Linked DNA regions of Sus scrofa. The protein of the gene in region 1 purifies or fractionates together with the protein of each later gene. This does not show direct contact. Links are inferred from orthologs where the notes say so. Each region holds a gene or a part of one and is shown in the gene's direction. Other genes may lie near its edges.

What was found. Proteins that work in one complex are often made in the same cells at the same time.
Region 2: the proteins of RHOU (region 1) and PAK1 purify together in Homo sapiens (co-immunoprecipitation; 5 studies listed by BioGRID and IntAct, with this or other methods). This does not show direct contact. The link is inferred for Sus scrofa from reciprocal best matches to the Homo sapiens genes RHOU and PAK1.

Annotation. Positions count from the first base shown.
Region 1 is NC_010456.5:60,671,795-60,682,750, reverse strand, and holds the start of RHOU (rho-related GTP-binding protein RhoU), read left to right. Parts: upstream 1-5,168; coding exon 5,169-5,430; intron 5,431-6,982; coding exon 6,983-7,041; intron 7,042-10,956. UniProt on the Homo sapiens protein: Binds to and activates protein kinase PAK1. Plays a role in the regulation of cell morphology, cytoskeletal organization and focal adhesion assembly during cell migration. Also stimulates quiescent cells to reenter the cell cycle.
Region 2 is NC_010451.4:11,834,394-11,844,871, reverse strand, and holds part of PAK1 (serine/threonine-protein kinase PAK 1), read left to right. Parts: intron 1-3,571; coding exon 3,572-3,671; intron 3,672-4,963; coding exon 4,964-5,160; intron 5,161-7,976; coding exon 7,977-8,114; intron 8,115-10,478. UniProt on the Homo sapiens protein: Protein kinase involved in intracellular signaling pathways downstream of integrins and receptor-type kinases that plays an important role in cytoskeleton dynamics, in cell adhesion, migration, proliferation, apoptosis, mitosis, and in vesicle-mediated transport processes.

The DNA of each region.
Region 1 (10,956 bases):
AGATAAAATGATTTTAGATTAGCAATAAGCAAGTATGAAAATATTTCAGTAGCACATGATGTATATTCTACTTTCCAGAAGTTTTTCCCCATCCAAAAATCTGTCCTCAGGCACCTCTGACATCCAATTGCATTTAGAACATCCCATTACCCCCACCACGCTGTGCCTTGCATTACAGTTATTTTATAGATATTTTCTCTCTTACTGGAATTGTAAATCCCTTGAGGTCCAGACCCAGCTCTAAAAGCATCTGAAGAGATCACCACTGTTTTGCTTGGTCACACTAAGTTCATCAGTTGGATTCCTCCCTCTAAAGACGAAGCTAACAGCCACACTCCTTTCCCCTCCAAAATCAAACGAATGACACAATTTCAGTGTGCAGAGGCAGTATCCACCTTCTAGGACATTCTAGAGGCACACGGCAGAGAAAGCGGGCCTCCTGCTACAGCATTTCCTTCTCAAAGCCACACTTGGGCAGATTGGTATGGCATCTGGGTGTGCGCCCCTTCTTCATTCAAAGTGCTACTCTCCACTGCAAACCCAGAAATGGATTTTGACCATGATTTGAATGTGTGAGAATTCCTTTCTCTTCCCCGTTGTAGAATTATGGGCTTTTCCTTGCCCTCGACTGGGAAGATCTCAAAAAGGGAGGTAGTTGCAGTTTCTGGAAGGAAGGCAGGAAGACAATTCTATCATTTCACAGCTGCCGGCCAAGGTGATTACAGTCGTTGGGAAATGATTCCATGGTGAGGTCTTATCTTTAGGGTGGCTTAAAAATTAGAGGAGGTCAAGGTTTTGCAATAGCTAAGAGGGTTTCTAAAGAGTTCTTATCCTCTGTGGGGATTTGGGCAGCTGGAAAATGTTTGGCCTGGGGCGTTTCTGTGATGTATGTTTGGGGAGGGAAGTCGGAAGCGTATCAGTTGCTGCAAAGGTCTGGGAAGGAGGCTCTTTTATCTCAAGGGTCAGAACAGCTGGGAGGGCAGGTTGGCTGCTGCAGCAGAGTTGAGGGAATGAAATGGGGGCGTTTCTCCTCCTGGGGGATGGGCACCAGCTGGGAAGACCCAGAGCAGGGGTTTAAGGAGGAAAATTACAAAGGCTGAGAGCAGAAAGGGGCCTGCAGTATAGCTTGGCCTGCCTTGCATGCATCTGTTTTCAGCCTTCGCAGTGTTTCCAGGCTTTCTGCTCCAGTGAGCTTCCACTGCAAATTTACCTGCCATCCTCCCAATGGCCCTCCCTGGGGCTTTCATCTTTCTCCAGGAACTTATGTCTATAATTTGCCTCTTTTGTGATAATCCTCCAGGACCACTTCAATTTGTTGAACATATTAAAGCACATATAATAACACTTGCAGAAGACGATACCTTTATTAAAAATAAATATTACAGATGTAAAAAATGCACAACAGCAATTAATGATATGTGCTCCTGGGAAAGTTTTGTATAAATAGGATTTATGGTGTGATTTACTGATTTCTCCTACATTTAGGAGGACCTCCTGCAGCCCCTGCCTCGGTCAGCACTGAGATGTGGCCATAAACGGGAAAAAAAATGGGCCAAAAAGAGTGGAAGGGGCAATATTGGACATAAGAGGGCCAGATAAAAAGGGAGCAAAGCAAAGTTTGGGTTTCCAGGACACAAAAACCACTATATGGTCAGAGGTAGGAGTAGCCCCACATTTGGTTGGGCCTGAAGCTTATCAAATTTCTGGGCCTTCCTTAAGAGAAATGATAAAAATTTAAGAACAGAAAATTAAGTACAAAAAATTTTAACTTCAATGAGAAATGCATCAAAATTAGTTATAAAATTTAAGGAGTTCCCATTGTGGCACATGGGAAACGAACCTGACTAGTAACTATGAGGTTTCGGGTTTGATCCCTGGCCTTGCTCAGTGGGTTAAGGATCCGGTGTTGCCATGAGCTGTGGTGTAGGTCACAGATGTGGCTCGGATCCTGCATTGCTGTGACCATGGGGTAGGCTAGCGGCTATAGCTCTGATTCAACCCCTAGCCTGGGAACCTCCATGTGCCATGGGTGCAGCCTAAAAAGGAAAAAAAAAAAATTAAAAGGCTGACAAACACCATAAATTTCAAATACATCCACTAGAAGACACTTCAATGAACTCCCTGACATACTGTGATAACGCTATTTTTTCCTACATTTTTGTGGCTGCACTCCTCATCCTAACTTTATTAGGTATAGTTGACAAAGAAAATTGTACATATTTAAGGTGTACAACTTGATGATTTGGTATATGTATACATTGTGAAATATTCACGTGTGTGTGTGTGTGTGTGTGTGTGTGTGTGTGTGGAGAACATTGAGGATGTCCACTTAGAGATGCAAGTGTACAGGACAGTATTGTTAACTCTAGTCACACTGTGTGCAGTAGAGCTCCAGAATGTATTTATCCTGCATAACTGAAGCTGTATATCCCTTGAAGGGCACCTCCCCACATGTGCTGGGGTGCATGCCCTTTGACCTCTTTTTCAATGTTGTGGTTTTGCATTATGTTTTCCAGAGAGGAATGGAAGTGGACTTCACAGGCAGGTTTGTATCTTCACAAACACAGGACTTTGCATCAATTCTTTCGTGTGTGTGTGTGTGTGTGTGTGTGTGTGTGTTTCTAGGGCCGTACCCACAACATATGGAATTTCCCAGGCTAGAGGTGGAATCAGAGCTGCAGCTGCTGGCCTACACCACAGCCACAGCAATGCAGGATCCAAGCCGCATCTGTGACTCACACCACAGCTCATGGAAATGCTGGATCCTTAACCCACTGAGCAAGGCCAGGGATTGAATCCTCAACCTCGTGTATACTAGTTGAGTTCATTACTGCTGAGCCATGACAGGAAATCCCCACATCAATTCTATTTCCTGTGATTTCCTTCAAAAATGTATGGTGCATCTATAATTTTATATGCTGCATTTAGAGTGTATTCCTGAGTGGAGGGAGCTTCCATTTTGACCAGGTATAGAGAGAGACAAGCCCCCTCCAACAATACTGTGTGTTTTATAATGGAAAGAATTGCCACAAACACAAACTAGCTTCTGGCTTCAAGAAGCTACATCTCCAACTGTTATTGCTTTGCCACTGGACCCTCCCAATGCTGGGGAAAATGGGAAAGTCCGCTTAGATGCCAGCAGGACCCCACAGAACAGGTGTGTTACTTGCAGCCATTCCTTCACCTGGGAAATAAGGTAACTAACACGAGAATGTGTTAGAATACCACATAGGTATCAGCCATCAAGGTCAGAGTTAGGCAGAGGCAGATGAGGCCAGGGTACTCAAAGCAAGTGCCTTAGGGTCAGGCAAGCGTGAAGTTGGCCCCTTCAACTTTGCTCCCTTGGCCCCTCACCGTAGTCCTGGCTCTGCATCCATTAAACCTAAACAAATTGTCTCCCCAACTTCACTTTCCTTGACTTGATCCTCAGAATGTCCACTGCCACTCAATATGAGAAGTTAGAGCTGAAAGAGACAATGGGCTTAACCAGTGGTGGTTAAAATATGACTTTGCAGGGAGTTTCCATTGTGGTACAGCAGAAACAAATCCGACTAGTATCCACAAGGATGTGGGTTCGATCCCTGGCCTCGCTCAGTGGGTCAGGTATCTGGCGTTGCTGGGAGCTGTGGTGTAGGTCGCAGCTCAGATCCCACATCGCTGTGGCTGTGGCTGTAGCAGAGGCTGCAGCTATAGCTCCAATTTGACCCCTAGCCTGGGAATCTTAAAAAAAGAAAAAGAAAAAAAAAGTGACTTTGCAAAATTTACAGACGTATAATGGGTGTGTTCACACTGTTAGGGCCCCCAAGGCCCTGGAGACGTTCTGTGCAAATGGAAGCCTGGATTCAAGCGTGTAGCATCTTGATAGACTCACCTCTGCATTCCACCTACCGCCAAACTTTCAAGTCTGAGTTTATCACTCTGGCTTATTTTAGCTTCCTGGAGCTAGACCCTGAATCCTGACACCACCACTTCCTCGTTTGTAGACCTTGGGCATTTTATTTGATATCTCTGTGCCTCGGATTTTCTTATCCTCTACCCTTAAAATGGCTATCAGTAATGATAAAATGAAAGGAATTAATTCATGCAGAATGCTTACCAGTGTCTGGCATATAAAAAAGGCTCAATGTTTATTAGCTATTGTAATTTTTATTATTGGTTTCGCTATTCATGTTAAAAGTACGTGCCTCTTCTCACACCCCACTGTCAACCCGACGGAGCCTTTGCGGCCCGACTAGGCCCAGAAAGGCTGCCCTGTCTTTCCCCACAGACTGCTGCCTAAATGTAGGAGGAAGCCAGAGAACAAGTCAGAGAAAAATGAAAATTTCCCCCAGGTAATATTAATGTCACCAAATTATACTGAAGCAAATGAAGGAACTGGGGCTCTAAAGAAATCTCTTGGTTCATGGCGTGCCAAAGAGCAGGTCCAACAAGCATTAACAATGGACTTGGCCTTCTTTTGCTCCCAGATGATATAAGAATAGATATAAGAATACATTAGACGAAGAAAAATCACACGCTGGGCTGCAGCGAGACCTTACGATAAGAGTTGCCTGTTAGCCTCGTTCAGACGATACGTCCCCAAGACCCTCACAGCTAGCTTGGAGGCCCGGACTGGGCGGGGAGGAGGGGGCAAGGGCCACGGGGCCAGGAGGAGCTCGGGTCGCCAGCCGCGTGGCCGAAGGAAGCGGCAACGAGCGGGCCGCTCCGCGGTGGCGTCAGTTCCGTGCGTCTGGAGAAGCAGCTCTCGGCCGGTACTCCCGTCCGCGCCGCCCCCAGCGGGTGTCCGGGTCCTCACCGCGGGTGCCACGGGCCCTCGGCCTGAGGCTGCAGCCCCGCCCCCGCACGCTCGGCTCCCGCACGGGTGCAGGGGCCGGGCGCGCAGGCTGGGGGCGCTGTGGGCCCGGCGCGGGGACCGAGTGGCCGGCGGCCCCGCCTCCTCCCTTGGCGCCCGCCCCCGCGCGCAGTGTCGCCAGGCAGCCGGGAGGAGACATCGCGCCCGGGCTCCGCGCCGCTCGGCCCGCAGTCCTCGGCCGCGGAGCGGAGCCGGCGCCGCCCGAGTCCCAGCCCCGCAGCGACCCGCCCGGCCGCCTTTGTCTGGAGCCGCGCGGCCCGGAGCTGCGGCTCTCGCTCCAGTCGGTGACAGCTCCTCCGGCGGCGGGAGCGGGCCGATGCCCCCGCAGCAGGGGGACCCAGCGTTCCCGGGCCGCTGCGAAGCGCCGCCCGTGCCGCCCCGCCGGGAGCGCGGGGGGCGCGGGGCGCGCGGGCCCGGGGTGCCGGGGGGCCGAGGGCGCCCGGGCGGCAGCGAGGGGCGCGGCGTCAAGTGCGTGCTGGTCGGCGACGGCGCGGTGGGCAAGACGAGTCTGGTGGTGAGCTACACCACCAACGGCTACCCCACCGAGTACATCCCTACCGCCTTTGACAACTTCTCGGGTGAGCGGGGCGGGGGGGCATGGGCGGCGCGGGGCCGGCCCAGAGAGGAAGCGGACGATTCCCGAGCTTCGGTGCCGGGACCGCGCGGGGCAAACGGCGGGACCGCGGGGAAGCCGGAACCCGAACCCGGAGCCCGAACCCGGGCACGAGGACTGGAGGGCGCCTCGCCATTTAGGAGCAGAAGGCGGGACCTCACAGGTCGCGCCCAGGTGGCCTGGTCAGTTTCCTGCGGCTAGAAGTTGCGTCAGGTCGATGTTGCTGGCGCTGCTGCAGTTTCGATCAGAAGGTGACGCGCAGGTGCCATTACCTGTGGCCCTGAGGGTCCATCCTTTTCTGTCAGTGGCTCCCTTACCAGGCAGCGTCGTCACTTTAAAGAGCAGCGGAGACGAAGGAAGAGAATGGATTTGGTGGAAATGGCACTAGGGGTCCTGGAAAGGCTGAGGTTTGGATTAAAGCTGGAGAGTAAACATTTCTCTCCTCAGAACCTCACCCCCACTTCCCTCGCTTCCACCTCCCCGCTTGACTGTGTTTCTGACTATTGGTATCTTTTCGCTATCTAATTAGGCTGCTCGCTTCTCTGTACAGGATGCTATGATACTTGGTTTGGTATCTACGAAGATAAAGGAATCCTTAACACTGGTTTTTCAAGTCTTTATGAAATTTAAGAAAAAGTTAAAATCTACAGACACCAGTCTGAAACACTTTCTCTTGCTCTTAAAAGTTTCCTGATGTTTTAGAAAGTCACAGTGGCAAGGTCTTGCTTTCATCCACCTGGAAGTTCCCCTAAGTAAAAACAGTGCTGTGCTGGTGGGTTTCCCACCTAAATGATATTGTGCTTTTTTTTTTTTTTCTTTCTTTTTTCCCTCCCAACTGACTGGTATAAACATTTATATAAACAATTTAGAAAGTTGCATTGAAAGGAAGCTGAGTGCTTCACTCACATAAAGACCTCAGAGCAGTATCCTGATGCAGGCCCCTCCCCAGTCACCTCTTCCCAGTGGAAAGGTGGCCATGGCTTTCTTTCCTTTTCTCTCTTAATCCTCTCTTTGAGCTGACATGAAGAGATAAGCAGAGGCCTCTTATAAACAGGACAACACTGGCAGCCTGTGTTTGCACATGTTCTCAAAAAAGCTACACTTTTATGATAAACCCCAAAGATGCCCAGCGTTTCCCAAGGGAAAACAGAAGTATTCGTGAGGTTTTCCACTGACTTAGAACTGCAAGTTCCCAATTACCCCCAGTGTTGTTTTTAAGTTCTTTTAAACAAGTGCAACAAGAAAATACGTCTTCTAGGTCTGGGAGGAAAGCGCAGGCCCTTCTGGGATGTTGTTAAAGGCTCTGAGCTTTGCTGCCTCCTCTGTGACAATGGAGATTTGTACAGAGAAGTGCCTCCATGGGGTCTCCTTGTTTTAGGTAAGCCTTGAGCTGGCTAAGGGATCCAGAGTAGGAGCTGAAGGTTTAGAGTAAGAATGGTCATGCAAGCTAAAACTATTTTTCTTCTGAAGAGAGTTAAAAGACACCCCCTGATAGTCATTTTGTTCTTATTTTTAAGCTGTGGTGTCTGTGGATGGGCGGCCTGTGAGACTCCAGCTCTGTGACACCGCAGGACAGGTCAGTATCACATCACTGCTCAGTGCTGGACAAGGAAATGGCCTTTGAAAGACCTTCAAGTAACAGCCCCATAACTGGGCCGTTCTAAAGCCCCACCCCTTTCTTTGGCCCCTCTCAGAGGGTGGGGTGGGGGGAGATGGCGCTGCACTAATAAAAGAGGGTTTGGCCCAACTTTGTGTGGGCAGGACAGGGGAAAATGGGGTCAAGAGCAGTTCTTATCTTAGGGGAGTTTCTGATCTTATTTACTTTCTGGTTTTTATTAAAAATGATCAATGATGCTTTGTAATCATTTCTCCAAGTAAGTTGGTGATATAATTATTAAAGGCCAAACAAGCCAAATACTTAAGAAACGTACTCAAGAAAAGGATGGAGCTTATGTCAGTAGCTGTTACTATTTCCCCTCCCAGGTGTGGTTGGACTCACTAGGGCACCCCCAGCCATTGAAGCAGAGGTGCAGTGGTCCAGGATGACCTAAGCTAGAGGGATGAATGAGCTGGAACTTGGTCTTTCTGAATTTATTCTGGTCTTGAGGGCCAGCCACTTGGAGGAGACAGCCGGGGGATGATGGGGAGAACCCATGTGAAGTCCCCTTTGGAGTGTCCCCAGAGAGCTCCAGGGGCCCTAGTCCCCTGCACAGTGCCCACGTTACGGAGTTCTCACTGTGCTCTGTGAGAACCCTGGGTGCTATCTCTTGAGTTTGCCAAAGTGACAGTTAATAAGCATGTAGTCCCTCCAATGCTTGCTGGAATTCATGAAAGTGTGGGGGTACTTCCTTGGCAGGTAAGAGTGCCCATTTCACTTGAGGTATCACATGACCACGTGCATTTAAGAAGCAGCTGGCTTTCTAGAATGAGTCCCCAAGTGCCTCATTCAAATCAGGGCTTCCAGGTCACTTACCTGCTCCAGGACCGCAAATTCAGGGCTTTATTTCTCAAACCTCGAGGTACACGACTGGGTGACCCAGTCCCCAGCTGAATGTCAGTGTGGTGATGGTCACAATGGCTTGTCATAGCCCCACCTCTTCTGTTCTGTCTTTGCCCTTCTACTGGGGCTCCTTAGCCCTCACTTTTACCAGGATCAGAAACAACCCACCAGTCTGTGAAAAAGAAAAATCAAAGAACACAGGGTCTTCTAATACTTAATCTTTCAGGGTGCCCTGCTGCTATTTATAATTAAAGCTTAATTGTTTTGTATAAAGTGAGAATGTTTTTCCTACTTAGGGTCAGATTTTCTGATCTTGAAAATGAGGGTTGGGTAGCACCTCAATAAACAGAGGGCTCCCCCCTGGAGCAAGAAGTGGCAGCTAAACAGCCTAAGAATAAGACAGAAGGCAGGAAAACATAAGGCACCAAACTGCACGCTTCTCTGAGACCCTTTAGAGAGAGCACGTGGCCATGCCCTCCCCAAAGGGTTGCCTGTCAGGCCTTGGTTTTCCTGGCAGACACAGCTTTCAGGGCTGGGGTTCTCTGCCTAGTGCCCCCTCAGTGCCTGCACATCCTGGGGTTTAATCATGGTTTGTAGAATGGATCAGTAAATGGATGGAGTGTTAGGTCCTGAGGAATGCAAACTTCAGTCATGGGTCTGTCCATCAGCAGATTTACAGTCTGTAGGGAAGACGAACCAGTTAGTAGAACTTGAGAAAGAAGTTACAGAAAGAATAAGGCAGCTTCAGCTGGAGGGGCAGGATGGATAGACCTGGGGGGAAATCTCTGAGCAGTTTTGAAAGAGGAATGGGATTTTTACCAGAAGAACTTTGTAGGAATGATCCTGAATTATCAGAGTTTGATTTTTCTCAAGTATGATCTGTTTCAAAGTCAAAGAATCAAAAGAATCATTTTATAAATATTTTCATGAAAAAAGTTTATCATTAGGGAAATAAAATGATTCTGGTGCAAGTTGATAAGCTTTGGTTTATTTGGAAATTATTCTTCTAGTCTCCCAGCAGTGTTTTCATTGAGATTCACTGTATTTCTTGATGGATGTTCTGGTTAGTAAAGTATGCTTTATTGTGTAGCCGCCTTCTATAGATTTGTAGAAAATCAAATTCAGAAATTAGTTATAAAAAATACACAGCTGGTAAGATAAAAGTAGCTTGTCCTCTGCTTCTAAAGTATCAATTAGTATTTGTTTTGACCATCAGCAAAGCTGGTCAAGATGGCATCCTTTTCTGCCCTCCTTACTCCAGATCTGATCAACTACTTTTTAAGGGACTTGGGTTAGCATATTTCCTTGGCATCGTCCCAGCCAGTGGCAACCCCCCCTCCAGGCAGTCCTCATGGTGGCCTCGTGGATAAACTGACTCGAGCCACCTCCATTCTAAACTCCCGGGAATGTGAACACAGGTAGCGTAGCCTGGGGACCAGACTCACGTTTCACATAGCCCCTGAGAGCAAGCATAGCGCTCTGCTGGCTGGATGAGTAGCTAGAAATTGCTTCTTGTGCCTTGGGGTTTCCTGTTGGGGTCTCAGTGAGTATATGAGATGTGAGGAGGAGTTTTTAACGCTAGACTTACCATCTTACTCAAGTGAAATTCCATCACATGGAGGCCTTGAAGAAACCTACCTTTGCTGTAGAGAAAGCACCCTCCCTGAAACAGGAGCAGTGCACTGTAGCCTTGCCAATAGCAGCTGAAAACTCTTCAGCCTTTTGACTCAGGAAGCACTTGGGAAAATCTTTGCTCTTAAAAAAAAAGAAAAGAAAAAGTCTGATTGAAGCTTGACCAACACTGCTCTCCAGCCAGCCTGGCCCTGAATCTCTGCACCATCTCAGAGTCGCATGCAAATCTCTGGGCCTCAGAACATGTTTCCTGGAGGGTACATTCCAGTTGGCCTCATCACATGTATGTGTGTTGCACTTGTTTCAGCAAATATCTAAGGTTTCTGGTCAGGCAGTGAGCAGAGGGGTTTAATGTCTGCCCTGTTTCCCGAGTCCCTAAGCCAGAACCTCGAGAGGTCTGTGGACTCCTGTCACGGGGCCCAGCCCTGTGCTTGCCTTTCTTTTTATTGGTAATGCAACCCCAGATTCCAGGGCACAGCCAAGTGTGATGCCTTCCAGCATTGAGGGGCAGTGAGGGGGGGGGGCGGGGGGGTGCTGACTTTACACTGTTTTGTGCTTCTTCCTTTCAGGCCTCTGAGAACAGAGGGAGCGTTTCATTAAAAGATCTTTGGGGCTGGGCCACCTGGTTAGGATTCTGTGTTTATTCTTTCAGCACAAAGTTGGCAGTAAGAAACCCAAGACTTTTTTTTTTTCTTTTTAACTTTTCTGTATAGAAGACAGAGAAGTGAAGTGGTACTCACCTTGTGAGATGCCATATTCCTTCTTAAGTATTTAGTTGGTCGACTTCAACATTGTTACTTTGTTGTTGTCCCACAAGCTGAAATGTGGAGCCTCAGATGAAGAAAGTGCACTCAGATAAAAAGACCGGATGTAGAATAATGCATATATAAATAGGAGTTTGTAAATAATCTGAGTATGCCAACTGAGCAACAAAAACCTGGTGACATTTACGTTTTTCTTGCCGCTGGGAAATTATGTCATGTTACAGCTGAGGGTGGTTGAAATTTAAAAGAGGAATGAGGAGTTCCCAGTGTGGTACAGGGGGTTAAAGAGCTGGCATTGTCTCTGTGGCAGCTCAGGTTGCTGCGGAGGCAAGGGCTCAACCCCTGGCCTGGCATAATGGTTAAAGGATCCAGTGTTACAGTTGCAGTGTAGGTACAGCTGTGGCTCAGATTTGATACCTGGCCCTGGAACTTACATATGGGTGCAGCCAAAAAAAGTTAAAAAAAAAAAAAAAAAAGGAGTGACAGATTTCTGTCATGGCTCAGCGGAAACAAATCTGACTAGTATTCATGAGGACACAGGTTCAATCCCTGGCCTTGCTCGGTGGGTTAAAGATCCAGTGTTGCCACGAGCTGT
Region 2 (10,478 bases), on another chromosome or scaffold:
TCATATATAAAATCACTTATAATTTCAACTTCTTAAAAAAAGTACTGTTATGAACTCTTATTTTCCTTTATTCCTCTTATATGGGTATATATTTTAATCATATTTTTATTCTGCTTTTCTGCTTATTCATGTGCTGTGAAGGAAATACAGCAGAGTAAGAAGGTACAGAGGAGTCTATTTCAGACAGAGTAGTCAGGAAAGGTTTTGCCACAGATTTGAGTAAAGATCTGAATATGAAAAGCAAGCCATGTAGAAATCTAGGGTAAAATATTTCCAGGCAAAAGAAATAGAAAAAAAGCTTAAATAGGTATTCTTTTTCTCCTCATTGATATTAAATGTCTGAAGTCTTTAAAATGCTGGCATAAGAAGGAAAAATAAAACCCCCCACAAGGCCTCCATAAAAAGTAGTGTTCTCAGGAGAAAGCCACATCTTCATTAGAGCAAGAAGATGAAGGGAGTATCCGGAGAAGTTGAGCATATTGGGTGCTTTGCTGGAAAGAGCCTGTAACTTTCTGACAGCTTAATAATAGAAAAGTTTGGGAATTAGGGGAAGAATAGAAGATTAGGCTCAGAGTTTTATGGGGTGAGTCTGCTTAGGGTTTGGTGATACAAGATTCGGAGACATACAGATGAAGTTATGTAGTTTTATAAATATTAATATTAGGGAAAATAAAGTCATGTGAAATACACTGTCCTAGAAAATATGATCACCTTTGCATTAAAAATGCTGGGATCTAGAACACCCCCCACACACCCACACACATAGTGGAATTAACACAAGCCTAGGAGTCTTAGGTACTTTGCTGTACCACTAGAGCAGTGTTTCTCAACTTCTGTTTCATTACCTTCCCTCCCTCACCAGGAGCCTTTTAAGGCATTTTTTCAGACTCACATTTTCCCCATGACATTTAATACTATCAGTATACTGTATGTTAGTTTATACATATATACTGTGGATCTTTGGAAAGCCGCAGTTACTGTAATATCTAAGATGTTTTTCTTCACCCCAGGAATGCTGAGCTATGCTGGTTGAGAATATATATGTGTGCTTTGGGAAACCAATATGCCTCAAGTGATGACTGACTGATTTGGGCTGCACCTGTAGCATGCAGAAGTTCCTGGGCCAGGGATCAAACCTACACCATAGCAGCATCCTGAGCCACTACAGTGGCAAAACTAGATCCTTAACATTCCGAGCCACCAGAGAACTCGGGTGATTTATCTTTAAAATAGGAACTGCGACATTCACACTGTATATACCTTAGGAGTACCACATGGATTAAAAGGCATTTAGAAAGACATTGAAATGTTACCTAAATAAGTGGCATTACCGTTATTTTTAAGTTCTAGGAGAGATAATTCCCCTTTTTGAGAATACCTTTATTGAGATATAATTTACATACTATATTATTCACCGATTTAAAGTGTATAATTTAATGGATTTTAGTATATTGAGTTATAGCCATTACCATAATCAATTTTAGAACATTTTCATCATCCTAAAAAGAGACTCCATATTCAGAAGTCACTCCCCACCTACCCGTTTCTCAGCCCTCCCACCAATGCAACCACTAATCTGTTTTCTCTATCTATACATTTACTTGTGCCAGGCATTTCATATAAGTGAAATCACACAGTGAATGCTCCTGACTGGCTTCTTTTGCTTACAATAATGTTTTGAAGTTTCATCCTTTTATTAGCAAATAAGATTCCTTTTTTTAATCTGTCCATCAACTGATGGATATTTGCGTCGTTTCCACTTTTTGGCTATTATGTACAATGCTGTGAACATTTGTGTACAAGTTGTTGGTTGGATGTCTGTTTCCATTTTTCTTGGATATTTGCGTAGGAGTGGAACTTCTCGTTGTAGAGCAACTTCATGTTTAACATTTTCCTGATCAGCCAGTTTTCCAAAGTGGTTGTACTGTTTTATATTCCCACCAACGGTGTATGAAGGATCCAATTTCTTGAAATCATCCTTTTTTATCATAATTTTTGATGTCCAAAGGCCAGCGTCTCTTGCTTCTTAGGAAAGCAACTCTTTACTTTTCCAGGAAGAAAAACCACTCTGGCTATTGTTTGTTTTTAATTTAACCATTACTTTGTTCTTAGAAAATGAAGTATTGGGAGTTCCCGTTGTGACTCAAGGACATGGTGTCCTTGAGGATGTGGGTCCGATCCCTGGATTAAGGATCCAGTGTTGCTGCAAGCTGAGCATAGGTCACAGATGTGGCTTGGATCTGGTGTTGCTGTGACTGTGGTGTAGGCTGCAGCTGCAACTCTGATTCGACACCTAGCCCAGGAACTTCTATATGCTGCAGGTGCTACCTTAAAAAGAAAAATTTTTTTTTTAATTTTAAAAAGAAAGTGAAATATTGAGGACATTTAAATAGTATTTTCTGATTAGTTTGCATCATTAGTATTTTTTAATTGGTAGAAGCCTCTAAAATTTTAGCCTTGGGGTATGAACTTAAAACTAGTTGATTTAATAGTAACCCTGAGAGTATCCTTTCTGATCCCCCACGTTTTACAGATGGGAAAACAGTAGCCCAGAGAGAGTGAGAGATTTCTCTAGAATAATATTATTGGTCAGTACCAGGCATTTTCATTGTTCCATTCAGTCTCTGCATTACTCATTCTGCCTGCTAAGCCTGGGTGTTTTCCAAGGTTCTTTTCTTTCTCTTCTTATCATCTATAACATTTTCCAGTTCTAACCGTTACTATAACTTTAAAAAAAAATTACCTCTTCACAAATGATTATAAACGTTTGTCCAGACCTCTGTACAGAACTCAAGACTCACATCTTCATTTGCCTCCTGGACGTTTGTCTGCAGATATTTATAGGAATATAAAGTTCAGCATATCCAAAACAGTACAAATTTATCTCCTCACCAAAATAAGATTACCATTCTAAGTTCTCTGCTTCCATTTTTCTAGTTTCCCAAATGTGACTTTTTTGCGAAAGTTCTTGGGCCAGAGGTCAAACCCAGGCCACAGCTGTAATCAGAGGCACAGCTGTGACAATGCCAGATCCTTAACCTGCTGAGCGATGAGAAATCTCTGGAAATGTGACTCTTATTTGTGGCTTTCCTCTAGTTTTTTCATTATAAAATTCTTTCTGTTTTTCCTCAGTCCTTTTTCTTTTTCTTTCTTTCTTCTTTTTTTTTTTCTTTTTTTTTTTGTTTGTTTGTTTGCCTCACGTCCTTTGTCAGGGATCTGATGTTCTGTAAAGAACTCTAAAATACTTTGGAGGGAGTGTTTTACTTCAAACTATAATGAGATATAATATGAGATGATATCAAATAAGGTTTAACTATAATAAGATTGTGATATATAATCAGGTCTGTAAAAAGAAAGGTATAAGGTAGCATGGAGTGTTAAAAGAATGCTTAGGAGACAAGAGACTAGGTTCTAGACCTGCCTCTTCCACTGATTTACACACTGGAGCAAGTCTTTTACACACTGAGACCTCACTTTTGTTATAAAATGAGAAGGTTGGAATAGTGATTTTTTTGTAAGCTTTCATATTATATGTCCTTTTTTTCTCCCTCTGCCCACATTGCTTCAATAGTGCCTGCAGGCTTTGGAATTTCTGCATTCAAATCAAGTTATTCATAGAGACATCAAGAGTGACAACATCCTGTTGGGAATGGATGGCTCTGTCAAGCTAAGTGAGTAGGAGTGGTAACACCTCTCTTCGCTGTGGGACCCTGTCTCTTCTGGGATGGTAACCATGTGAGAGTAGCTACAAGGTTCACCATAGAATCTTTATTTCCTCTAGTATGCAGGTACTTCATATTACTCAGCACTATATGGAATGTCATTTTTTTTCTCACTCATTTATGCATTCAGCCAAAAAATTTATACATGCTAGGTCCTGTGATGGATACCAAGGATATTTGGCCTGTACTCAAGGAGTTCTCAGCCTAGTATGGCTGTGCATGTGCAGTGTAGACAAAATACATAATTAAAAAAAAATTTGTGTAATTTCTTTCATTCAGTCGTTCATTCAGCAAGCTTTTGTTAAATGTGTATCACATACTGGGCCTATTGTGAATGGAGAAAAAATGAGTAAGAAGACAGTCCTTCCTATTGAAGGCCTCATAATTAAATAAACATAACTGCAATATACTGTGAATGAACTGCAGGACGAACATTTTGTTCAAAAGTGTAAGGGCTGTGGTGCAGACAAACAGGTTGTGTCGCAGTAGATGGGAAGACGGTTAGCAGCCTCTGTCATAGGGCACAGGGTGAGGAACTGATAAAAGCAGGGCCGTGCCTGGGCGCAGGTAAATTGGATTTAAGTCTGGGACTTATGCCCAGGAAATAAAGCAACCTGGTTACCAGATCCTAGGGCATGAGAGTGGTTTTCAAGAAGAAAACAGAGGGGGGAGGGATAAATTAGGAGTTTGGGATTAACACATACACACTACTTTATATAAAATAGTAATAAACAAGGACCTACTGTATAGCACAGAGAATTCTACTCAATACTCTGTAATAACATATATGGGAAAAGAATCTGAAAAAGAATGGATGTATGTATAGCTGACTCACTTTGCTGTGTACCTGAAACTAACATAACATAAATCAGCTATATTTTAATAGAAAATAAAAATTTTTTAAAAAGCCATCCAAAAAAAGAAAGAAGAAAGCAGGGTTTGGGCAAGTAGTCAAGGTCAGAATGGGCAGCTTGACTTTTAATACCTAGTCCTTCCAGTTTGAGGAGGGGTGGGAGGCCAGAGACGATGTTTGTTATGTTTCTCCTTGAAAGGTGAACAGAAGACAGGCTAGGGGCTGGACATGGAGGTGGCAGTTTCGTGACTCCAGGTTTGGAAAGACAAGGGATGCAGTGGCTAGGACCCAGGCAGAGCCTGACACCTAGGGGTAGGCACATAGTCAATACATACAGAAGGAATACTCCACATATAAATTCTTTCTGTCGTTTCTTTTCCTTTTCTAGCTGATTTTGGATTCTGTGCCCAGATCACCCCAGAGCAGAGCAAACGGAGCACCATGGTGGGAACCCCATATTGGATGGCACCAGAGGTTGTAACTCGGAAGGCCTATGGACCCAAGGTTGACATTTGGTCCCTGGGCATCATGGCCATTGAAATGATTGAAGGGGAACCCCCATACCTCAATGAAAACCCTCTGAGAGTAAGTGTTACTAGTTCCATATCAAGATGTTTGGGCTTTTGGCTTTCTATTTTTGGATAAAACTAGGTGCTGTTGAACTTAAAGTATAAATGCCTAAAGAGAACATTTATTAGTAGTCATTCATTCATTTTCAGTGATTATTTGAGTTCCTATAATGTGCAAGAAACTGTTCTAATGATAATAAAACAAATTAGTCTCTAGTAACAGAAGATAAGTGCTATGGAAAAAAGGCAGGGAAAGGGGCTTAAGAGAGTAAAGGGGGAAAGAGGGAGAAGTGTGCTGTTTTATTCTGGGCAGAGAATGAAGTCCTCTCTTGTAAGTTATTTGCACAGAAACCTGAAGAAAATAAAGAAGTGAGCCATGAGGTTAATCTAACACAAGGGTTTTCCAAGTATCAGGTATACAAAGAACTAATTTTGAGAACATGCTTGATGTAGCCTGAGGAAAATCAAGGAGACCAGTCTCCTTGTGGTGAGTGAGCAGAGTAGCCAAGGTCAGATCTCCTAAGACCTTGTGGCCATTGTGGGAACTTGGTTTTTATTCTGTGAGAGATTGGAAGCCATTGGAGGATTTTGAGCTCAGGAATAATATAATCTGACTAATGTTGTAAATGAATCATTTGGGTGCTTTTTTGAAAATAGACTGTGAGACTGTTGTAATTGTTCACACGAGAGTGATGGTTGAAACTACATTGTCAAGACTAGAAGGAAGAGTAGTTGGACTCAGAAAATATCTTGAATGTATAGCTGACAAGCTGAAGGGGATATCAGGGAAAGAGGAATCAAAAATAAATATGAGATTTGGGGCCTTCATTGCAGAGAATTCACTTGCCATTTCCTGAGAAGTATGAAGAACAGGTAAAGTGGATAATAAGAGTTGGTTCTGACTGTGTTAATTTGAAATGTTTATTAGATATCAACGTGGAGATTCTGATTAGAATTGGGCATAAGAGTTCAGAATTCAAGGGGTAGAGGTCAGGACCATAAATATAAATGTATTACTAGGTATTATATGGTTGGTTTATTTAAAAATCAGAGCTAGGTGATAATGAGATCCCTCACCTCAGGAGTGAGGTGTGAGTCCTGAGACCTGGGATACTCTCCTGCTTACAGGCTGGAGGAACTAGCAGAGTAGACTGATGAGTGGCCTTTCTGGTAGAAGGAGAACTGAGAGAAGTGTCCTGGAGGCCTCTTAGGAGGAGAAGGTGTTTTGAGAAGGAGGATGGATCACTGTGTCAGATGTGACGGACAGGTTGCATTAACACTAGGAAATGGTCATTAGATTTGCCAGTGTGAAAGTTATCGATGACCTTGAGAATCAGTTTCATTGGAGTGATGGAAATGAAAGCCTAATTAGAATAAATCCATCAGAGTGGAAGAGGTTGAGGTGGCATGTATAAACAGTTGGTTTTATTTTTATTTTTTAAGTTTTGCTCTTAAGGTAACAGAAATGGAGCAGTATTTTGAAGTGGCATCAGGGGAGGGTTATTGTGGGTTTTTTTGAAGATGTTACTATGTCATGCTTTTGTGCTGATGGGAGTGATCTAGTGGAGAGGAGGAAAATGGTCATGTACAAGAGAGAAGCGACTCTGTAGGGATGATGCTGCTAAGTAGATAAGAGGGGTTGGATCAAGCACTGAAGCAAAGAGCATTAGATTAGAATATGGACAATTTTTCGTTGTAATAGGAGAGGGAAAGCAGTATGTGAATACACCTGTATGTAGGTTGATGATTTTGATCATGGGCAAATATGAGAGTTATTCTGATTGCTTTTATTTTGTTATTTATTCCAACCTCCTATTTAATGCAGGAATACCCTGTGCATTGTTGCTGACGGCAGTCATCTAATCTTAGCTGGATACCTCTAGGATAGCCCTGATTATTGGAATGTGCTTAATGTATCAAACTGAAACTACCTTCTGTAGTTTCTGCCCTTGGCTCCCAGTTTTGCCCTATGAATCCACATACCACTCATCTTCCTTCACCTCAGAGTGGCCTTGAAAATGATGATCAGTACAGTGTGATGCAAATAAGACTGGGATTAAAGTCAGAGAACAAGAGCTTGTACAAACAGCATGATCCCAGGCATATCTGTTTATGTTCCTGGCCTTATCCGTGAAATGGGGATGATAATTCTTGCCCTGCTTACTACCCAGAGTTATTGTGGTCATTAAATTAGATAGTAAGTAGTTGTGTCAACACTTTATGAATGAAAGTGCTAAGTGCTTGAAAAGGTTTAGTACGGGTAAGTTTTTACCTTTCCCAGGAGATGCTTTATGTGAGGGGACCAAGGTGGCACAGTGAAACAGGTTGCTCCTTTACAGAATACTTTCTTTAAATATTCCTTTCCTGCTGGAAGAGATCCGTTTTTAGATGCCTGTGGCAAAGGCACCAGGAATAATTTCCTTTGGCAAATGTGCAGATGTTTAACTCATCAGGTTGAATAAATAATAATAATAAACCATTTAGATCTATAATCAGGAATAATAATAAACCCTTGGGTCTGTAACACATTTCGTAAGCTTGCAAAATGCTTTCAGTGTACTGTTTTGTTTTATTTTACAGACATAGGAAATAGGCACCATTATTGTCCCTGTTTTACAGATAAGGAAGTTGGGAGTTCACTGGCTTGCACATGGTCACATGGCCTTTAAATATTAAGTGTGACCCTTAGGTATATTCTCTCCGTATCAATATACCAGAGCTGCCTCTTTGTGTTCAGGAGGCAGAAAGCAACTGACCATATTTCTAGAGGGCCTGTCTGAGGACCGAGAGACCCAGTTGGAGCCTAAAGCATTTCTCTATTTACATTACCAGGCCTTGTACCTCATTGCCACCAATGGGACCCCAGAGCTTCAGAACCCAGAGAAGCTGTCAGCTATCTTCCGAGACTTTTTGAACCGCTGTCTTGAGATGGATGTGGAGAAGAGAGGTTCAGCTAAAGAGCTGCTACAGGTAACTGTCCATATGCAGGGAAGTACCTAATTTGAAGAATCACTAAACCAAGGCTTTTTTGGGGGTTCCTGCCATGGCACAGATGATTAAGAATCTGATTTGCAGTGGCTCAGGTCACTGCAGAGGTGCGGATTCGATCCCCGGCCCAATGTAGTGGCTTAAAGGATCTGGCACTGATGCAGCTGCAGTGTAGGTCACAGCCGTGGCTCACATTCAGTCCCTGCCCAGGAACTTCCAAGTGCCACAGGTGAGGCCATTAAAAACAACAGCAGCAAAAGATCACCCAAGGCTTTTTTGATTCATTTTTGTCTGTGAGGTACTAGCTGTTATAGAACTAGACTTTCCTCCTACCACATTCAACACTCAAATTGTATTCCTAGTTCCCTCATCCTCTTCATCCCTGGCCCTTGGTCATTCTCTTAGGCTCTTCCTCAGCCTATTAAAACTCTGTGCATTCTCGTAGGCTTCATCTTATAGAGCTACTTTCTGAGCTCCTATTGAACTTTGCTTGTATCTTCCTTTGGTGCTGTTTTGTTCTGCCTGAATTATTTTGGCAGAGTTTGAGTCTTGGTGAGAAGCAGCTCTTTGATGTGCAAATCTTAAACAATTTTATTTTATTGGGATAATCTCAAAAGATAGATGTTCAGGAGTTCCCCAGAGGTCTAGTGGTTAAGGATCTGTCATTGTTAGCACTGTGGTGCAGGTTTGGTCCGTGGCCTGGGAACCTCTGCATGCCACAGGCATGGCTAAAAAAAATTTGATTTTCCGTAAGGGATATCAGAGGGCATTAGTTTGGAGGATAAATAGTACAGCTTTTCAAGTCTTCCCAGTTTCTTCATTGGAAACCCTCTCAGATTGTGGGAATGATATTCTGCTTGTTTGGAGTAAGATCCTGCCAGATTGTGGGGAATCTGAGTTGGGGGATTACTAAAGCTTTTATATTCCACTGCTTAATGTCAAAATTACAGCGTAATTATTTCATAGTTGTAAGAACTGCTTTTAGCTGGCCATATTATTTGTATTTAACATTTATGTCTCAAGTACAATTTCTCATAGTGCCGTTTTGCTACATTGCCAACTGATGATTTAGTTTAAATGTCACATGCAACTCAGTGATAGTGAATAATCTATAGACTATTAATCATGTAGTATGAAGACCAGAGCAACTGAGTCGGGCAGGGCAGGACCTACCATACTGCCTCACATTAAAGTTAGCTGTGAACAGTTCTCTTTTTTTTACTAGATTATAACCTCCATATTAATCTCTGAGTTTCCTTTTCTACCTGGGACCTAACTCAAAATAGATTCCATCGTGGCGCAGTGGTTAACGAATCCGACTAGAACCATGAGGATGCTCATGGTTGTAGTGGGAGAAAACATTTGGAAATGATATAACCAATAAAGGGTTAATATCCAATATATAAAAACAGTTCATACAACTCAACAACAGCAAAAAACAAATACCCTAATTAAAAAATGGGCAGAAGACCTAAATAGATATTTTCCAAAGAGGAAATGCAGGTGGCCAATAGGCTTATATGAAAATATGCTAATCATCAGGGAAATGCAAATCAAAACCCACAGTAAGATATCACCTCACACCTGTCAGAATGGCTGTCATCAAAAAGAACACAAATAGCAATGTTGGCAAGGATGTGGAGAAAGGGAGCCCTAGTACACTGTTAGTGGGAATGCAAATAGATGCAGCTATTATGGATAAACAGTATGGAGCTTCCTCAGGAGACTAAAAATGGAACTATCTTATGATCCAGCAATTCTACTTCTGAGTATATATCTGAAGAAAACAAAAACTTTAATTTGAAAATATATATGTGCCAGTTGTTCATAGCAGCATTAATTACAATGCTAAGATATGGAAGCAATCTAAATGTCCCTCTGCAGATGAACAGATAAAGAAGATGTGGTGTGTGTGAATGTATACACACACATACACACAGTGGAATACTACTCAGCCATAAATGAATGAAATCTTAACATTTGCAATAAGATGGATGAATATGGAGGGTGTTATGCTAGGTGAAATAAGTCAGAGAGAACAAATACTGTGTGATATCACTTATATGTGGAATCTAAAAAATAAACTAGTGAATATAACAAAAAAGAAACAGGCTGGGAGTTCTCTTGTGGTACAGTGGGTTAAGGATCCAGCGTTGTCACTGTGGTGGCTTGGGTTTGATCCCTGGGCCAGGAACTTTCACATGCTGTGGGCATGGCCAAAAAAAAAAAAAGCTTTTTTAAAAAAGAAGCAGACTCACAGATACAGAGAACAAACTAGTGATTACCAGTGGAGAGAGGGTAGCATGAGGGACAATATAGGAGTAGAGGATTAAGAGATACAAATTG